3 linked regions of the Drosophila melanogaster genome follow. The protein of the gene in region 1 interacts with the protein of each later gene in a pairwise test. Each region holds a gene or a part of one and is shown in the gene's direction. Other genes may lie near its edges.

Region 1 (4,373 bases):
CTTCATTTAAATCCCGGCGGCAAGGCTTCGCTTCCTGTTGCATATGCTTCTGTGTGTTTAGGACTTGAGGGATTCGTATTTGAATAGTTAAACGATGTCCTGCGCGGTAGGGTGCTAAAAGTTAAATCCGGTGCTGGGCATGTTGTCCGGATCGAACTCAAACTGTTGCGTGCCTGCCACGGGAGCCACCCGGCTATCCTCCTCTTCGTTGCCGAAGTACTGTTCGATAATGTAAAATGATTTGTGGTAGATGTCGCGGTTTTCATGCGCCTGCAGATACTCTATTTTGTCCAAACCTATATAATATTAACAGAATCGATATTTAAATGGAAATTTGAAAGTAAAAATAAATAGCGTTACCTCCGCATTCCTCGATGGTAATAGCATAGGGATTTGGTCGCGTCTGGAACTTTTCACCTGCCTTCAAAATGTTTTCAAGTGCATTTAGCGCCACTTGGACGATGTCCGAGTCGACGACGGTGAGAAAATCGCACATGGGCGGCACACAGCCAACCTGCACCAGGTAGTGGATCTGTTCGTGCGTACCGCTGCTGGTTGCGTTGGTAATGGCCCATGCGGCCTCCTTGCGAGTCTTAAATTCGGCCGTCTGCATGATAACCATCAGCTGCGGGAATATGTTGGCATTGATTAAGGCCTGGATCTGCTCACGATTGCCGGCTGCAATATTTGAGATTGTCCAGCACGACTCCTTCTTGATTGTTTCCGCCGTCGAATGCAGCAGGTGGCTAATGCAGGTCAAAGCGTTGTACCCCAATATCACCTGGGTCTGCTGATCGTCGCCTGTCACAATATTGCCCACGGCCCTCAGAGCAGCTGTGCTCACGTTCTGCTGAGGATGTCTGCCAGGATAGGTCAACAAATCATAAGTGTAATTTTAATTTGTAATGGCGCAGCAGGACTACTTACAATAGCAGCTCAACCAGGCGACGGCAAACACCCGCATCAATTACAGCCTGGATTTTATCATTGGGACCATCTGACAGGTAGCCTATGGCCCAGCAAGTATCGCTTAGTACATCCGCATCAGTGTACTTCAGCAACCGTGCCAGTATTGGTAGACCATGGCTAATTTTGGCAAAGTCTGCGGGAGGGCTTTTGCCGCGGCACAAGTTTGAAAGTGTCCACACCGCATTCCGTATCATGGTAATGCGATCCGAGTTGCTCAATACACTGCAAGAAGTCACACCTACTTTGGCGCAATCTTATCAATATAATTATTTATAACTTACTGCAGGAGAGGCTCTAGAATGCCGGAGCCGAGCAAATGGTCTCGACACATGGGTGAGTCACCGGCTATGTTGCCTAGGGCCCACACGGCCTGTTCCTGAACATCATCATGGGGACTGGAGAGCAAATCAATGAAGATAGGCACTGCCCCGGCCTCGATAACCACCTTGGTCTGTTGCGAGGTGCCCGATGCGATGTTCGTTAGCGTCCAGGCGGCCTCGAACTGCAGCGTGGCATTTGCGCTATTTCGCAAAAAGGTGACAAACTGTGGCACTATCCCCTTCTGGATGACTTCCTCAATGGGAGGATTGGGATCGCGGGACAGCAGTTTGCGGAACTTTTGAGTCGCCTCAAGCTGTTCGTTTTCACGTCCACTGAAGAGCATTTGAATCATTTCCTCGTTGATTACGGATGGCTGTGCCCCGCTTCCAGCAGCTTCCTCGTTTTGACCGCCAGTGCTGCTGTCAGCCATGTGCATGTCGGCAGCCTGCATTGGAATGGAGAGATAGTTAAGACTATGCTATCAGGCCAAACTTGATCAAAATATACCTGCTGTTCGTTATCGGTGTTGCTCTCCACTCCGGCTGATGTTGAGGATGTAGCCGGCTCAAGAACCACATTGCGTCGCTTAAAGAGCTGCTGTTCGCGTTTGTTTTTTCGCAACTGGATGCCCACCTCCTCGCGACGACGACGCATCTCTGTGGAGTCCAAGGCGGCATTTTTATAACGCTGTTTGTGGCTGGCAGACATTTCGTCGTCTTGGCAATTCAAAAGCTTGAAATAGTTAAAAAAAATATTTCTTTGAGAACAGAATAATTTAAGTCGTAAAGACAGGTTTCAGATAAAAAGTGAGTGCGACTTGATTTTCGCCGCTACTGTGATCAAATGCTAAACGAAAGTGCAAATAATCTAGAAAATATAGGTAGAGGTCGTCGTGGAATGCGAACTAGTTGAATTGAACGTTTATAATCATCACTAGGTGTTCCCCAATGTTCTCATCCACTCCCACCAGGATTATTACGCCCTGTAACCACTGAACATTCGCTTAGCGCCTGCTCTAGGCTAATTTTACATTTCCGGAAACATAAAGATTACGTTGTCAGGCGAATAATTTACATATAATAGGTTCACATTTAATGAACTATTCAGTTTTCCTGGCAAAATGCACAATCACAACACTTTCACATTTCATTGTACGTGTATGTACATATGTGCACACACGGCTGCTTTGCGTTTGTGCGTATAGGTGCGGGCTTAGGTCAGCCAGCATGAGCCATTCGCTGGTCTCCGGTTACGCCCTTCTTTGAGCCACCACAACTCCTGGTTAGAAGAGGCGCCTTCAGATACGTAATTAGAACACAATTTACCTGTTCCGGAGAATCCTTTTCTCGTCTTAATCATGCAAGGGGACGGGAGATTTTACACGTTGTGAGGAACGGGGATGCCGGACTGTCAAAATGCAATGCACACAGCTGACGCGCTATCGATAGCGATATCAACCGATAGCAGTAATTCCAATCCAATTGCATTTAATTTAAACATGAAAGAAAATAAGAAAAAGTCGCGCAAAACGGCCAATAAGACAAATGAAACGTCAGAGGGTCAGAAAAAGAAGATCATTGAACTGCTGCACGAGTACAACGACCTAAAGGATGCCACCCAGCGCGTCCTGGAAGCCTTGGCCAACCTAAAATGCGTACCCGTCGGATCGGTTTACGCTACATACAACCTGCCCCGCGACGAATAAAGTTTGTGCTTTTTAGACTGTTATATTTATGTACTTGTTGTAAACAACTTGTAATACAACGGAGTGCATGTAAATGCCTTCTGGCTTGGCAGTTCCATGAGACTTCTGCTAATAAATCCACCTAAAACTAGTCATTGCATTTGTTCCACCTATTGGCCAGCATGAAAATAGGACCGGCATCGTTCATTGAAGGTCTTGTAGGAACGATCTTTAATGATGTCCTCGACATTGAGCTCGGCCTGGAGAACCCGCAGCTGGAAAGGATCATAGGCATCAGTTAAGAGTAAGACTTAGGTATTTCGGTTACCTTGCGCTGCTCCGCCCTAAACTGGTTATCCGTATCCACATCATCCGGCTGGGTCTCCCGCTTTTCCCTTAGCTTCTTCAGATTACTAGCCGAAATTGTTATGCAACTGCGTATGCTTTCTTGCTGCAAGGAGAAGCTATCTGTCAAGATCCCCGTGTGTTGTACTTAATCAGGATTTACCCTGGCCAAGTGTGACTCCTGGAGCTTCGCGTACAGATCGCGACAGGTGCTTTCACTGTTCACTTGACCCTTAAACGACTCCGTTGGCAGGGCATTTAGTGCATATATAATCTTGTCGTCCACATCTCGCATCTTCTTCAGTGCCTCCTGTTTGGAAACTTAAAGCCATTTAGTATGCCGGCTACTAACCCAAACAACAATATTCCAACCCCCACCTGGAAGCCGAGAAAGTCTAAGCACAATGCCGCCATTTAAACCAGGTAGGAAAACAAGAAAACACTTTAAAAAATAATAAAAACAAAATGATATATGTAAAATTGCCGGCGCAATGTGCCTCTAATCGGGGTTGCCACCTGGGCGGTGCAATCGATTAGCACGATTATGGACAATCGATGTGGATGATAAAGACTAGTTGAACAAAACAAAACAAAATAGCAAAATAATTCAAGATGCCGCTAAAATTCGATGATATTCACGAGAAAATTGAAACCGGCGTCTACCAATTGGCTGTTAATGACAAAAGCACACGGAGCACTGTGTGGCGGGTGTATCGCAAGATCAAGAAGGACGATGGTAGCTTTCTGGAGCACGTACTGTTCTGCATCGGCTGCAGGAGCATTATGTCCTTCACCCACAAATCCACAACGAACCTGAGGCGTCACCGGTGTCACCTGCAGTATCTCAAGAAACAGGCATTCTGCTGCTACAATTCCAAGGGCGAATCCAACGACAGAAAGGAGGAGACGGACCAGGAGCATCATGAGGAACATGATGACCAACAATCCATGTCGGATGAGTTGGAAACAAAACCCTCTCCTGCCGATGTTGCCGCCTTTGTGGGGGAAGCGGTCAGCGGCGGAGATTCCACTGCAGCTTCAGCCCGTATTCCGG
Region 2 (5,447 bases), on another chromosome or scaffold:
CCAAGCGGCACTAGACGCCTCTCCCCAGTGGCCACGTGCAGCTGAAAAATCTCGTGTCCATGGAGCAGTAAAAGTAGATCCTCTTCCGGTTCGCGGAGCACAAAGAGTGGCTTCTCATGGCGCACCATCATGTCCACAAAGGGCAGACGGATTTCCGGGCCAGAGCTACTGCCATTCAACCCATTGCGACAGGAACTGGGCAGCAGCTGGGCAGCACTCGGATCTCCAGCGACTTCTGCTGCTGATAATTCACTTTGTACTTGGGCGATATAGCTATTTAACACTAACACACTAAATAATGCTGCACACACGCTTGGCGAAATCATTTCGCAAGGATTGCAGGGACTGTTGTATCTAGTGATACTAAACTACAATGATATATTCAATCCATTCACATGGCACATTACTTTTGGTGTGCCATTTCTCTTGTTCGTAACTGTAAACCAATTTATACTTCGTGAGAGAGCTCTAGTATAACTGTAAAATGAAAAGAAATACTGTGAGTGACGGAAAGCGCGCGAAAGACAAAAACTCATCGAACAGTTGTTGTTATTCCGTTACAGTGGAATAAACAGAGTTACTATATGTAGAGTGAAATATGTATATTTTTGTAGTTCCTGGTTTTCCGATTTGAGTTCTCAGCCTGAATGTAGGCAACGGAAAGTGCTTTCATTTGTGCGCTCAACGAGCATTTTTCCCATGTGTCGCATTAGTTTTCCCCGATTTTCTCGGCACTCGTCAGTCAATCCGCGTCTCTCCGTCCTGCTTTCTCCGCCTGCAGCAGTGACACCTTGGACTGGGAATTAAATTTTTCGTACGGGGTTGGGCAGTGGGGAATGGGGCATATAAGGCTGGGGATCTAAAAATAAGGCAGACAAACTTGGAGAGTGCCTTCGACGTTTCTGCTGAATCAATCAGCTTCGATCATTAGTCGAGGTCATTAAAGACATTAAACCTCGAGCCACCAAAAAAAAAAAGATAGAAAGGAAGAGAGCATTTAACACGGAAGAGGGAATCGCATAAAAATAAATTTATATGTACGTATGTATGCACATACATACATATGTATGTGAAATATTTTGGGGGCGGAATGGGCCTTACCAAGTCACCCATAAATCCGCAGCTTTAACCTAAAAGGTGGCCACATTTGTACTTGCAGTTAAATCGGATTTAAGGCACATATAAATATGTATTAATAGGTGTACAAGAGGAAAACGGTATTCATGTCATCGCCCTCGGGGTCAGGATTTGGGGGCATCCGTTGGGAACACCCGCTGAAATATTTACTTTGCCCAAAATCTGATTGATCGCAGCATTGACATGTTATGCAAACAACATTCCAGTGTAACGAATATACAATTGTAAAATAAATAAGAGCAAAACATACAATCGGATGTTAAATTGAGGTGAACTTAAAATTTTGTAGATCAAAATTGGCTTTTATGTTTTAAACTTTCAAAATGTAACTTTCCTGAATGCCCTTTTAAGTTTGTACCATTTCTAGTTGGCTTAGTGCATGGCTAATACCAGCTGTTGGTTTCAGCAGATGTGCTCACTGGTTGCGTGCTGCCGATTTGGTTCATTTCATTTCGGTTTTTGTTGTGTCCTGTTTCTGTTGACCATTTCGAGCAGTTGCCGTCGCGCTTTTCGTGACTAATTAGCAAATTCGCGACACCCGTTTTGGGAGCATTTTTTTCTGCGTTCGTTGTTTGGCGTTTGGCGTCACAGGCCAAAACCCAAGTCACCCCTCCCCCAACACACTAAACCATTAACCATTTCGGACTACCGCTTAACGGTTAACAGAAGCAGCTGATTGTCATGCCTGCGGCTCATCAGCGGGCTCATAACGGCGCTTTTGGAGTGGCGGTCTGTGATTTGAGTGCCTCCCCAATGGGATACTCTTCTGCCAGAGAGAGGACGAGAGTAAGAGCGAGAGAAAACTCTTTCTCCAGTAGCCAAAACTCCCCAAAAAGCGCTCCGCTTACGCACCACTCTCGCTCTCCTTTTTCTCTTCCTTTTCTCCTCGCGAGTGAGTCACGCAGCTAGAGCTAGAGCTGGAAAAACATCGATGCTCGTCGCCGTCGATGTTTTCGATGTTTTATGGCGAGAACATTGACTATCGAAAAATAAACGAAAAATATTACTCTTTCTGTTCTTTTTGTGTGCATTCGTATTCGTATTAATAAATATGAAAATTAAAACATACAAATATATTTTATTATTACTTATTTATTTTCATATATATACATACACACATTTAATACGGGTTATACAAAAACTTTCGATTAACTATTATCTACAAATTTATCTAAAAATATAAACTCATTTGCAATAAAGGATTCAATAACAAAATTCAACATCAAAGTTAACAAAAATGTTCTGCAACATCGATACTATCGATGTTACATCGTTAATTCTACCACCTCTAGTACTGGCGGCAAGATCGCTCATTGTGCAACTTTTGGCCGTGCTCCGCGGACGTGCGCGCATCGTCAGGTTCAGTCGCATCGCAGTCGCCGTCGCCGCCGCAGCCGTTGAATTTCCAAATTGTTTTCGAATTTCCCGATATCGATTGGAAACCGAATTCGTTTTTAAATTTACTTTACCTTTTTTTTTTTTTTAAATATACAGTTTTTTTTTTGTGAAAATGCCAAATTTGCCATGAGTGTTGAAAAATCGTAGAGATCGCTGCGTTTTCCCATTTGGGGAGAAGTTGGAGAAAAGAAAACTCAAGATGAAACTGTGGAAATCGAAGAAGCCCATTGGTGGCTGTGTGCCCGGAAAATCGGCCGCCCTAAAACAGGACCAACAGCAGCAACAACAACAGCAACAGGAGTCGCACAACAACTCCTTCAATGGACACCATCATCCGCCGACGGACACTGCCTTGGCGCCCATGTTATCCGGTAAGTGATGGGGCTTTCCCAATCTTCGAATTTTCCAATTTTCCCATTTCCCCCAACCCACTTCCTTCCACAGCAGATAGCCAGCCAAAAATCATCTAAAAGCGCCCAACATGTGCGCTCCCATTTTCCGCTTTTCCGCCTTTTCGACTTGCCGACTTTCCGTCTTTTCCCCGCCCGCTCAGGGTTATCGCATTTCCGCCCAAGGTGCTTGCGTTTGGCCCTCAAGTGCTTGACTTTAGATATAGATTTGTATACAAATATCCGACGGTGTGTTTGCATCTCTATATCCAAGTATCCAAGCATCCAAGTGCTGTTGAAAATATAGTTTTCGCTCAGTGTGTGCTTGTGGGCCAAGACAATGTTTGACATTTTCAATTGAAAGTAATTGCTCGCATTTCGTTTTCATTTTCCGATCGCTCGAAATTTGTCAATTGCAACGCCCCTTCCCTCAAAGAAATAAAGAAACCCCCCATGGAGCCGATGGAGCTGGGTGACCTGACCCTTGATTACCCAGCGATTGGTTTAATAGGATCAGCAGGCAGTTTGATGGATTACCCGGCCATCGAATGGCAATCGAATTGGATTGCCAAATCAGTGAAGTTCAACGGTTCGCTGCTATATTGCTCTATATATCATGACTAATTGGAGCTGATCAGATAAGCAGATGATCAGATGCATTTCCCATCAATTGAAGGAAGACCTAATTGAATGGATTGCGCAATCTCAAAGAGAAATACCGAGAATTTGGTGTACCTATAATAAATTAGCTTGGAAGAAAAGAGTATCAGTTTCGCCCACCTCCATGGCTACTGTTTCAACTTTGACCTATCATAAGTTGAGATCTAGATAGGACACCCCTTTTTGAGGATCTTAAAAGCCGTTCCGCGAACGCTGTTCTCTTTTTATTTTCAGCTTTTCCGTTGATCTTTCGCGGATTAATGATCTAAAAGTGCCGCCAGGATGGACGCGAGGAAAAAGGCGGCTGGGATTTATGCCAGTTAAGGCATTAGCGGCGTAAAATGATGGCCCAACTCCAATTGCAACTGCAGTTGAACTTTCCAATGAATGAAAAGGCCAGAAGAGAAGGAAACCAGATACCGATGTGCTATGGGTGAAGTAGAGAAGCGCAGGAGATACAAAAGTATCTGCATCTGTTCGTGTGCGCGGGCTTAAATTGCATTTGATGAATTTATGGCATGGCAAGCGTAATTAAGCATTTAATTAAATATTTCTGATGCTCCGCATTGTTGTTGCTCCAACTGTTGCTATTGCTGTTGCTGTTGCCCCTTTTCATTGCTTAATTTTCTTGCGCGGAATGCCACAGATTGTATCTGGTAGATAAGGCCAAGTGCCTGGCCAGAATGCAGCTTCTGCTGGTGGCAGTTGGTCGATGTGGATGCGCTTACTGGGCCAGACAATCGTCAATTGATGCCAAATGACTAGATGAAGTCGTACAGCAGTGGTCAAGATAATAGCAGCTTGAATAGGTTTAGCTTAAGGCTTCATTATAATTGGTCTTGCTTAGTTTTCAAGTGTATGCATAGTGGAAGCTTGAAGGCCTTTCGAGATTTATTTCCCTGTTGAAACATAACATTTGATCTCCTATTGTTTCGACCCCCTGTGTAAACCTAATGGCACGCACGTTTGTATGTAGATGCATCTGCAATTGGTGGCTGTGGATGGTTGCCTATCCGAAGGCAAACAGAGGCGTGTACTCATCCAAAAGGGGGGGATCAAAAAGGGGGGAGGATGACCAGATGTCACTTGTTTACACAGTAATGACAGCTACAACAGCAGAAACAACAACTGCAGCGATTGATTTGACTGCTCATTTGACTCCCTCGAATGCAAACAAAGGCCTGAGAATATCGAAAGGTGTTCAATGTCAATGCACCGAACAGCCCAAAAACATCGGGCCCAAAATCAAACAGATGACAACTCCCCCCAATTGGAATCGAAAAAAGAACCCCTCACTCTCTTGTCCACTTTTATGGCACATTAAGTGCCCATAAAATCAACGACAAAACATTGGAAATCGTAAAAAGAGTTGGAACTACTCGAAAAATGTCGAAATGATATAATAGATCAACAGATTATACTGTCAGCGTTGACAGGCGGGCGATGGGAATACGATCTAAATTTGCATTGCTTCCCAAGGATTATTTCGGTAAAATAATACCAAAATAAATTAAAAAAATAAAATGCTAGAACATCTTAGACATTTTTTTTTTGATTAAATGACATTTGTCTTGGCAATAAATTGATACATTTTCACGGTGATAAATAAATGGTGAAAAAATGCAATTGAGGTCAGAGTTTCATCTTTTTTGTGATGGTCGAATCGAAAAAAGATCACGTCTGACATGGAAAATATTTCGAACTTATGAGGCGATTAAATTTATGGAATTTTGATGATTATTACAAGAGGTCCAATGACAAAAATCGGGAATGAATTGATAGTGGATAATTCCTTCTGTCTTTTACATCTACCATGTGTGTTCTTTTCTCAGATTTTATGCGATTTTTCATTGCATATGTCGA
Region 3 (6,488 bases), on another chromosome or scaffold:
GCTGTTGTGTGTATTCGAGTGTTGGATTGACGGAACGTTGGAACATTGGAAGGTTGCAGGGTTCGGCGGGTTGGCGAGCAAGAGAGGTTGGAATAAACAAAGGGTAAAACAATTCGTTAGCATTCGGTGGGATTACAACTACAATTATTAGTGGGTATAACACTTTCTCATTTCCCTAGCGTACGTTCGACTTTTGTTTGCATGCGCGAGCACAACCTAACCTCAAACTCTTGCAGCCGTACAAAACGTGTTTTTTGAGGTTAGGTCCAGTGCCCGCATGTAAGGGTGTGGGTAAAACGAGTGGGGCGCAACTACAGAAAAGAGCGTGCAAATAAAATTCCATATGGAAACTCGATTTTGTTTCAGTGATTTTGGTATTTTTGCTTTCGTCAACTGTCTTCAGTAGCAGAACTGAAAAATCATCATCATGTTAAATCGAAGAGTCCAAAGGAAAATTCCAGCAAATTTAATTCGCAAATACACATGTGCTTATCTGCCTATGCGTGTGTATATCTATGCCTGTGTATTTGTGTGACGCTGTTGCCGGCCGGAGGAAAAGTAAGAGAGGAATAGAGAGAGAGAGAGACCAAAATGGCGGATGTGCATTAGTGTGCGTGTGTGACTTGTACAAATGCAAGCGATCTCGCCGCGGTGGCACAATTGGTAATTGGAAAGAAATGAAAAAGAGAGGGGCACACAACGAATTATTCAAGAACGTAGTGCAGCGGCAGCCATTTTACCAAAACCAATTATGGAGTCGGTTGGAAATGGCGAAATAGCTGATGCGAGTGCCATTTCACCAGATATGCTAATGGGCTGGAAACCCAAAAAAGCACATTTTTTCGCTTGTTGCCAGGCGAATTTTTTTCGCCCACTTGACTCACGCCACTGGGTCGCCATTTTAGAATTCCATGCCGCAAAAAGAAAGAATAAGGAATATCTATAGGTCATGACAAAGGCAAGAGAGAAAGCACGTTTTTTTTTCTCGGTTAATGAGCACATCTGGTGGATGACCTCTGTGTCCGGCGTGGGCGTGGCAAAGTAATTACACACTAAGTGCACCATATTGCAGGGCGAAAATGCGGCCGGAAAAGCCGGAAAATTATTTTGAGAATGCTGGGAACTTTAACTGGGAACGCCAGTTAAAATTTTTGCCTTTGCAGACTTGCCACGTGTTTGCTTCTATGGCCACCTTTCACTTTGGAAAACCGCAGTTAGAGGTTATCTCCGGGTTTATTACACACACACAGGAAAAACACTGGAAATATGCACAAATTCGGCGTCTCAGCTGCATATTTGTTTATAAATTGTTTTCTGGCTGCAGTCCCGTTGCAGAAATTACTTAATTATAGCCTCGCAGGTAAAACTTACTCTCGAATAAGCTGAATGAGAAATCACGAAGTCTAAGCGGCGACGGATTCGAACAAAGTGAACGAGCGTTCGGCAGAGCTCAGCACAGGAAGCCTCGTTTGACACATGGTGTGACCGAAGCTACGCAACTGTCAAAAGAGCAGAAACCGTGTTCTCACTGCGGTGTTTCCACTACGCGCGAATGAAGCACTTCATTTTATTGAAATTTAAGTGATTGAAAGTGGCAAAATACAATAACCTAACGATTGAGGGATTTAAAAAACCTTGTTTGCTCGACATTGTTTTTATATGAAAAACTAAATAATCAGTGATTCCAAAAATATTTTCTACAAAACGATGTCTATAATTTCTATACGTAATATTGGAACACATATCTCTTAATATTTAAAAACTATAACAATTGCATTAGTAGTCCGCATTTTGAACTTTTAGACTAGAACCTGAACTTTAATTTGTATGTGAACCCTAACGTAATAGAACTTTAAATAACAATAGAAGCTTGAGATCGTTTAAATTTATGTAATACGTTTCATTTATTTATACATTTTTTGGCGTCCGTTGCTACAACTAAAATATGCTACAAATAAAACTATAAGTAATTTGGTATTGTATCAATTTATACAATATTGTAAAAATTTATAACTTAAGATCTCACGTTTTAATACTTTTTCTTCTGGAATTCATCAGAATGCTAATATTTATTTGAATTTGTAACTTACTGCTTAATATTTTTTGTTAGACTATTTTTTCACTCAGTTTTCACTTGTACTCAATAAATTTATTCATTGTGCATAGAACAAAAGTTGTTAGCCTGCCCCTTATATAGGACGCAATTAAAAGTTCCTAAGTGTTTTCCTAATTTTGTGAAATTAATTAATTAGTTATTAATAATATGATTATTGTTATGCTTGCGAAATCAGTTAACAATAAATGCAATTACCATCTTTTATGAAATGATAATTTGACAAAATTTTATTATAAATCGGTATCAATTAAATTAATTTAAATCTAGATCTCAACTTTTCTGTGTGACTGGAAAGAATTATAGCTAAAGCATTTAAAACCCACACATATAGACATTAGTCATTAATAAATGATGAGCCATCTTTATTTATTGTTTACATATGCAGGAAAGCTCACAACTGAGAGCTTTTTCCAACTTTAGACATTTTCGGCCTAGCCCCACCTGGCCACACTACGACGAAACAGAATAAGAAGCGACGTGGCGAAAGAGGCAAAAAGCGAATTCAATCGTTGAAAAATACCGAACCGGTCCGGTACTCAGTTTTTGTTGTAGAAGTAGGCGTTCGACGGCCTAGTTGAACTTGAATTATTCACCGATATCGCTTCAAGTGAACCCAAATAATGATGTGGCGCCTTGCTGGAGTGCTCCTACTAGGCTTCATCGCCATCTCGTCCGGAGCGGAGCAGGATGTCCTGGAACTGGGGGACGACGACTTTGCCACCACCCTAAAACAACACGAGACGACGCTGGTCATGTTCTACGCCCCCTGGTGAGTTAGTGAGTGGGCGTGGCCGGGCGCCATCCTACAACAAATGCATTGCGTGTGCGATTCGCGTATAATCCGCTTGTTGCGTCCGCAACTTAATTCGATTCCCAATGCCCAGTGCCGACCGATGCCCGATTTTCCGGCCATCGCAAGCGCAAAGTACACGTCAGCGTTTGCCTTGCTTTTGCCGGCAAATAAAGAAGGAACGAGTGACGGAACGAAACGAGACGCAAAGAGAGGGGCAATGATGATATGCCAGTATTGGTGCCGTCGGCCATTTTAGAGCGCGGGGTGCCAAAGTGCCTAGTTGGTACAATTTCCGTGCAATTCCTGCTCCACTTGTCCACTGGCTAATGATAGTGAGCAGGCATAGGGGCCCCAGTGTACATAGCGCATCTTTTATTATAGTTTCTTATGCCTATGCATTATACCCATAATCCCAGGAATGTGTAATTCTAAGGGTTAACTTAGATTTAGCTTGAAACTGGTTATCATAGTCTGAAACACTCACAGTTCTCATACAAATGTAATTTCCCAACAGTTTACACCAACCATATTAAAACTTCAATTTTAATTGCCTGCCTACTCACAAAAGTTATGCTGATTGTGCTATAAATTTCTCATGTCAGTAGACACATTTTTAACTTCCATCGTAATCCACACTGAACACAATAACCTTTTAATACATTTTTGTTTAGTACATAACACATATTTACTGTGCCTATTTACTCTCTTTTGAGCCATTTGTTTGCCCATTATCAGGGGTAAACTATAAGCTCACACTTGGACAATGAACTAGGTAAATTATTAGCGTTTTTTTTGCCGGCCGGCTTTCGAAATCCCCAAAGAGCTGTTGAACTACTTGGCATGGAGACTTGATTCCCTCATGACGAACCTTATCAGTATTCAAGCATAAATACACAGGGATGAAGTTGAAAAAGTTGTACACTGCAATAAAACTGCTCTTTTCATTATAACATAGTTAACTTAAGGCATCACTTATCTTTATCAAAAATGAATTATTATCTGCACTGCTAAGAGTGCAGACTATACTCTGCTGTTTCAAATAAGTACCAAGTCGTTTTTCTCTCTGTATGCCTAATGGGCACTTGTACTTGTGTGATAAGACAGTTGATAATTCCAGCACCCTTACTTTAATTACAAGCTAGTTTTTTGGGAACTTGTCTTCCCGTTGCCTTGATAACAAATGATGAATTAGATAGTATTGTTACCAACATAATGTTTAAGTGACGTGTCCTAACAGAGTGTTTTTTCCTGTTTAAGGTGCGGCCACTGCAAGCGATTGAAGCCCGAGTACGCCAAGGCGGCGGAGATCGTGAAAGACGATGATCCGCCAATCAAACTGGCCAAGGTTGACTGTACGGAAGCTGGAAAGGAAACGTGTAGCAAGTACTCCGTCAGCGGCTACCCAACGTTGAAGATTTTCCGTCAGGATGAGGTGTCGCAGGACTACAATGGACCACGCGAAGCCAGCGGCATTGCCAAGTACATGCGCGCCCAAGTGGGACCCGCCTCCAAGACCGTGCGCACCGTTGCCGAGCTGAAAAAGTTCCTGGACACCAAGGACACCACGCTGTTCGGCTACTTCAGCGACAGCGACTCCAAACTGGCCAAGATTTTCCTGAAGTTCGCCGATAAGAACCGCGAAAAGTACCGCTTCGGACATTCAAGCGAAAAGGAAGTCCTCGATAAGCAGGGCGAAACGTAAGTGGGAGGCTCTAATCAAGACTCGTACATCTGTGTATTATGTGTTTTTCGTTTTATATATTTTCTAAGTGTTAATAAACTAGAGCCTAGTTGGGATTTTCATATTTGTTTAAATGTAATGAAAGGTTCATCCATTTCATTGTTCATTTAACTTGCTCCAAAGTTTTCTCCAAAAAGTTTCCACTTTTAGGTTTTTATGTTAAAATGTGTTAATGTAAGTAATTAAAATATCTGTGATGCTTTTCAATCCGTTCCAGCGACAAGATTGTGCTTATTCGTGCCCCCCATCTGAGCAACAAGTTCGAGTCATCTTCCATTAAGTTCGAGGGTAGCTCCGAGTCCGATCTGTCTACCTTTGTCAAGGAGAACTTGTAAGTAGTTTGGAAATGTTGTTACCTTCTGGCACATGTCCACTATTATTGCTCTCTACTCCAGCCATGGTCTTGTGGGACACCGCACTCAGGATTCGGTCAAGGATTTCCAGAATCCTTTGATCACTGCCTACTACAGCGTGGACTACCAGAAGAACCCCAAGGGAACGAACTACTGGCGCAACCGTGTGCTCAAGGTGGCCAAGGAGTTTGTGGGTCAAATCAACTTTGCGATCGCCTCCAAGGATGACTTCCAGCACGAGTTGAACGAGTACGGCTACGATTTCGTTGGCGACAAGCCAGTGGTATTGGCTCGCGACGAAAAGAATCTCAAATACGCCCTGAAGGACGAGTTCTCAGTGGAGAATCTGCAGGACTTTGTCGAGAAGCTGCTGGCGAATGAGCTGGAGCCGTACATTAAGAGTGAGCCTATTCCCGAGTCGAACGACGCTCCCGTCAAGGTGGCCGTCGCCAAGAACTTCGACGATCTGGTTATCAACAATGGCAAAGACACGCTGATTGAGTTCTACGCCCCATGGTGCGGCCACTGCAAGAAGCTGAGTCCCATCTACGAGGAGCTGGCCGAGAAGCTGCAAGACGAAGATGTGGCCATCGTCAAGATGGACGCCACCGCCAACGATGTGCCGCCGGAGTTCAACGTGCGCGGCTTCCCCACCCTCTTCTGGCTGCCCAAGGACGCCAAGAACAAGCCAGTCAGCTACAACGGAGGTCGCGAGGTAGACGACTTCCTTAAGTACATCGCCAAGGAGGCGACCACAGAACTGAAGGGCTTCGACCGCAGCGGCAAGCCCAAGAAGACCGAGCTCTAAGCTGCACGCCGGGTAGAACTGGCCGCCAACTAGCATTTCCATATTTTTGTAAAATCGAATGCATTCTCCACAATACTTGAGCAAAAAATGTATTAAATTATTTGATAGTGATGAAACGCGTACGAACACAATTTGATGATTATGTCGCAATAAACTTAAATCTTCATTTAATTAGTTAACCACTTTTGTTCTGCTATTTCGGTATTCATATTTCTTTGCCAGTTCTCATTGTTATTGTTAAACTATAGAAGACATGGTTTGCAAATTCGGTGTCTTACACATATCGTTCGTGTGATCGTCCAGCATCATCCGGAACCAGTCCGAAACGAACGTGTACTGATTGCGCCCTCGCAAGCCCTTGTATGATACTGTTCCTTGGCTCGCGTCGAACTGAAAAAGGTAAACGGTGCTGGGGCAGTCGATCGGCGCCATAACTTGGGAAATACAATTGAGTAGGTAAATCATGAAGTTGGCGCACACTGTGGGCGACCAATCTTTTTCCTGTAAATGAAAAATTTAGTTTCTTAAGTTAGTAGAACAAGAAATGTTCCTCGAAAGTTGCAAAACTGGGCGATAAACTTGCATAAAATGCTTGATTTAAGTATACTAACGCAAGACTTCCATAAATCCCGCACCAAAGTCTTTTCAATGTTGTGCACATGGGCGTTTTCATCGCG

The links. Proteins that work in one complex are often made in the same cells at the same time.
Region 2: the proteins of CG14104 (region 1) and Grip interact in a two-hybrid assay, tested with the Drosophila melanogaster proteins (one large-scale study listed by BioGRID).
Region 3: the proteins of CG14104 (region 1) and ERp60 interact in a two-hybrid assay, tested with the Drosophila melanogaster proteins (one large-scale study listed by BioGRID).

Annotation. Positions count from the first base shown.
Region 1 is NT_037436.4:19,805,562-19,809,934, reverse strand, and holds CG14104 (uncharacterized protein), read left to right. Parts: upstream 1-2,735; 5' UTR 2,736-2,788; coding exon 2,789-2,995; 3' UTR 2,996-3,124; downstream 3,125-4,373. Other genes in the region: Kap-alpha1 (karyopherin alpha1), read right to left, coding at 115-296, 361-860, 928-1,191, 1,251-1,735, 1,798-1,998; Ccdc58 (Coiled-coil domain-containing 58), read right to left, coding at 3,145-3,249, 3,303-3,425, 3,483-3,629, 3,698-3,733; CG34116 (uncharacterized protein), read left to right, coding at 3,932-4,373.
Region 2 is NC_004354.4:5,963,832-5,969,278, forward strand, and holds the start of Grip (glutamate receptor interacting protein), read left to right. Parts: upstream 1-2,447; 5' UTR 2,448-2,734; coding exon 2,735-2,906; intron 2,907-5,447. Other genes in the region: fs(1)M3 (female sterile (1) M3), read right to left, coding at 1-326.
Region 3 is NT_033778.4:11,887,068-11,893,555, reverse strand, and holds ERp60 (endoplasmic reticulum p60), read left to right. Parts: upstream 1-2,576; 5' UTR 2,577-2,736; coding exon 2,737-2,885; intron 2,886-4,166; coding exon 4,167-4,607; intron 4,608-4,867; coding exon 4,868-4,981; intron 4,982-5,045; coding exon 5,046-5,811; 3' UTR 5,812-5,988; downstream 5,989-6,488. Other genes in the region: cuff (cutoff), read right to left, coding at 6,049-6,312, 6,423-6,488.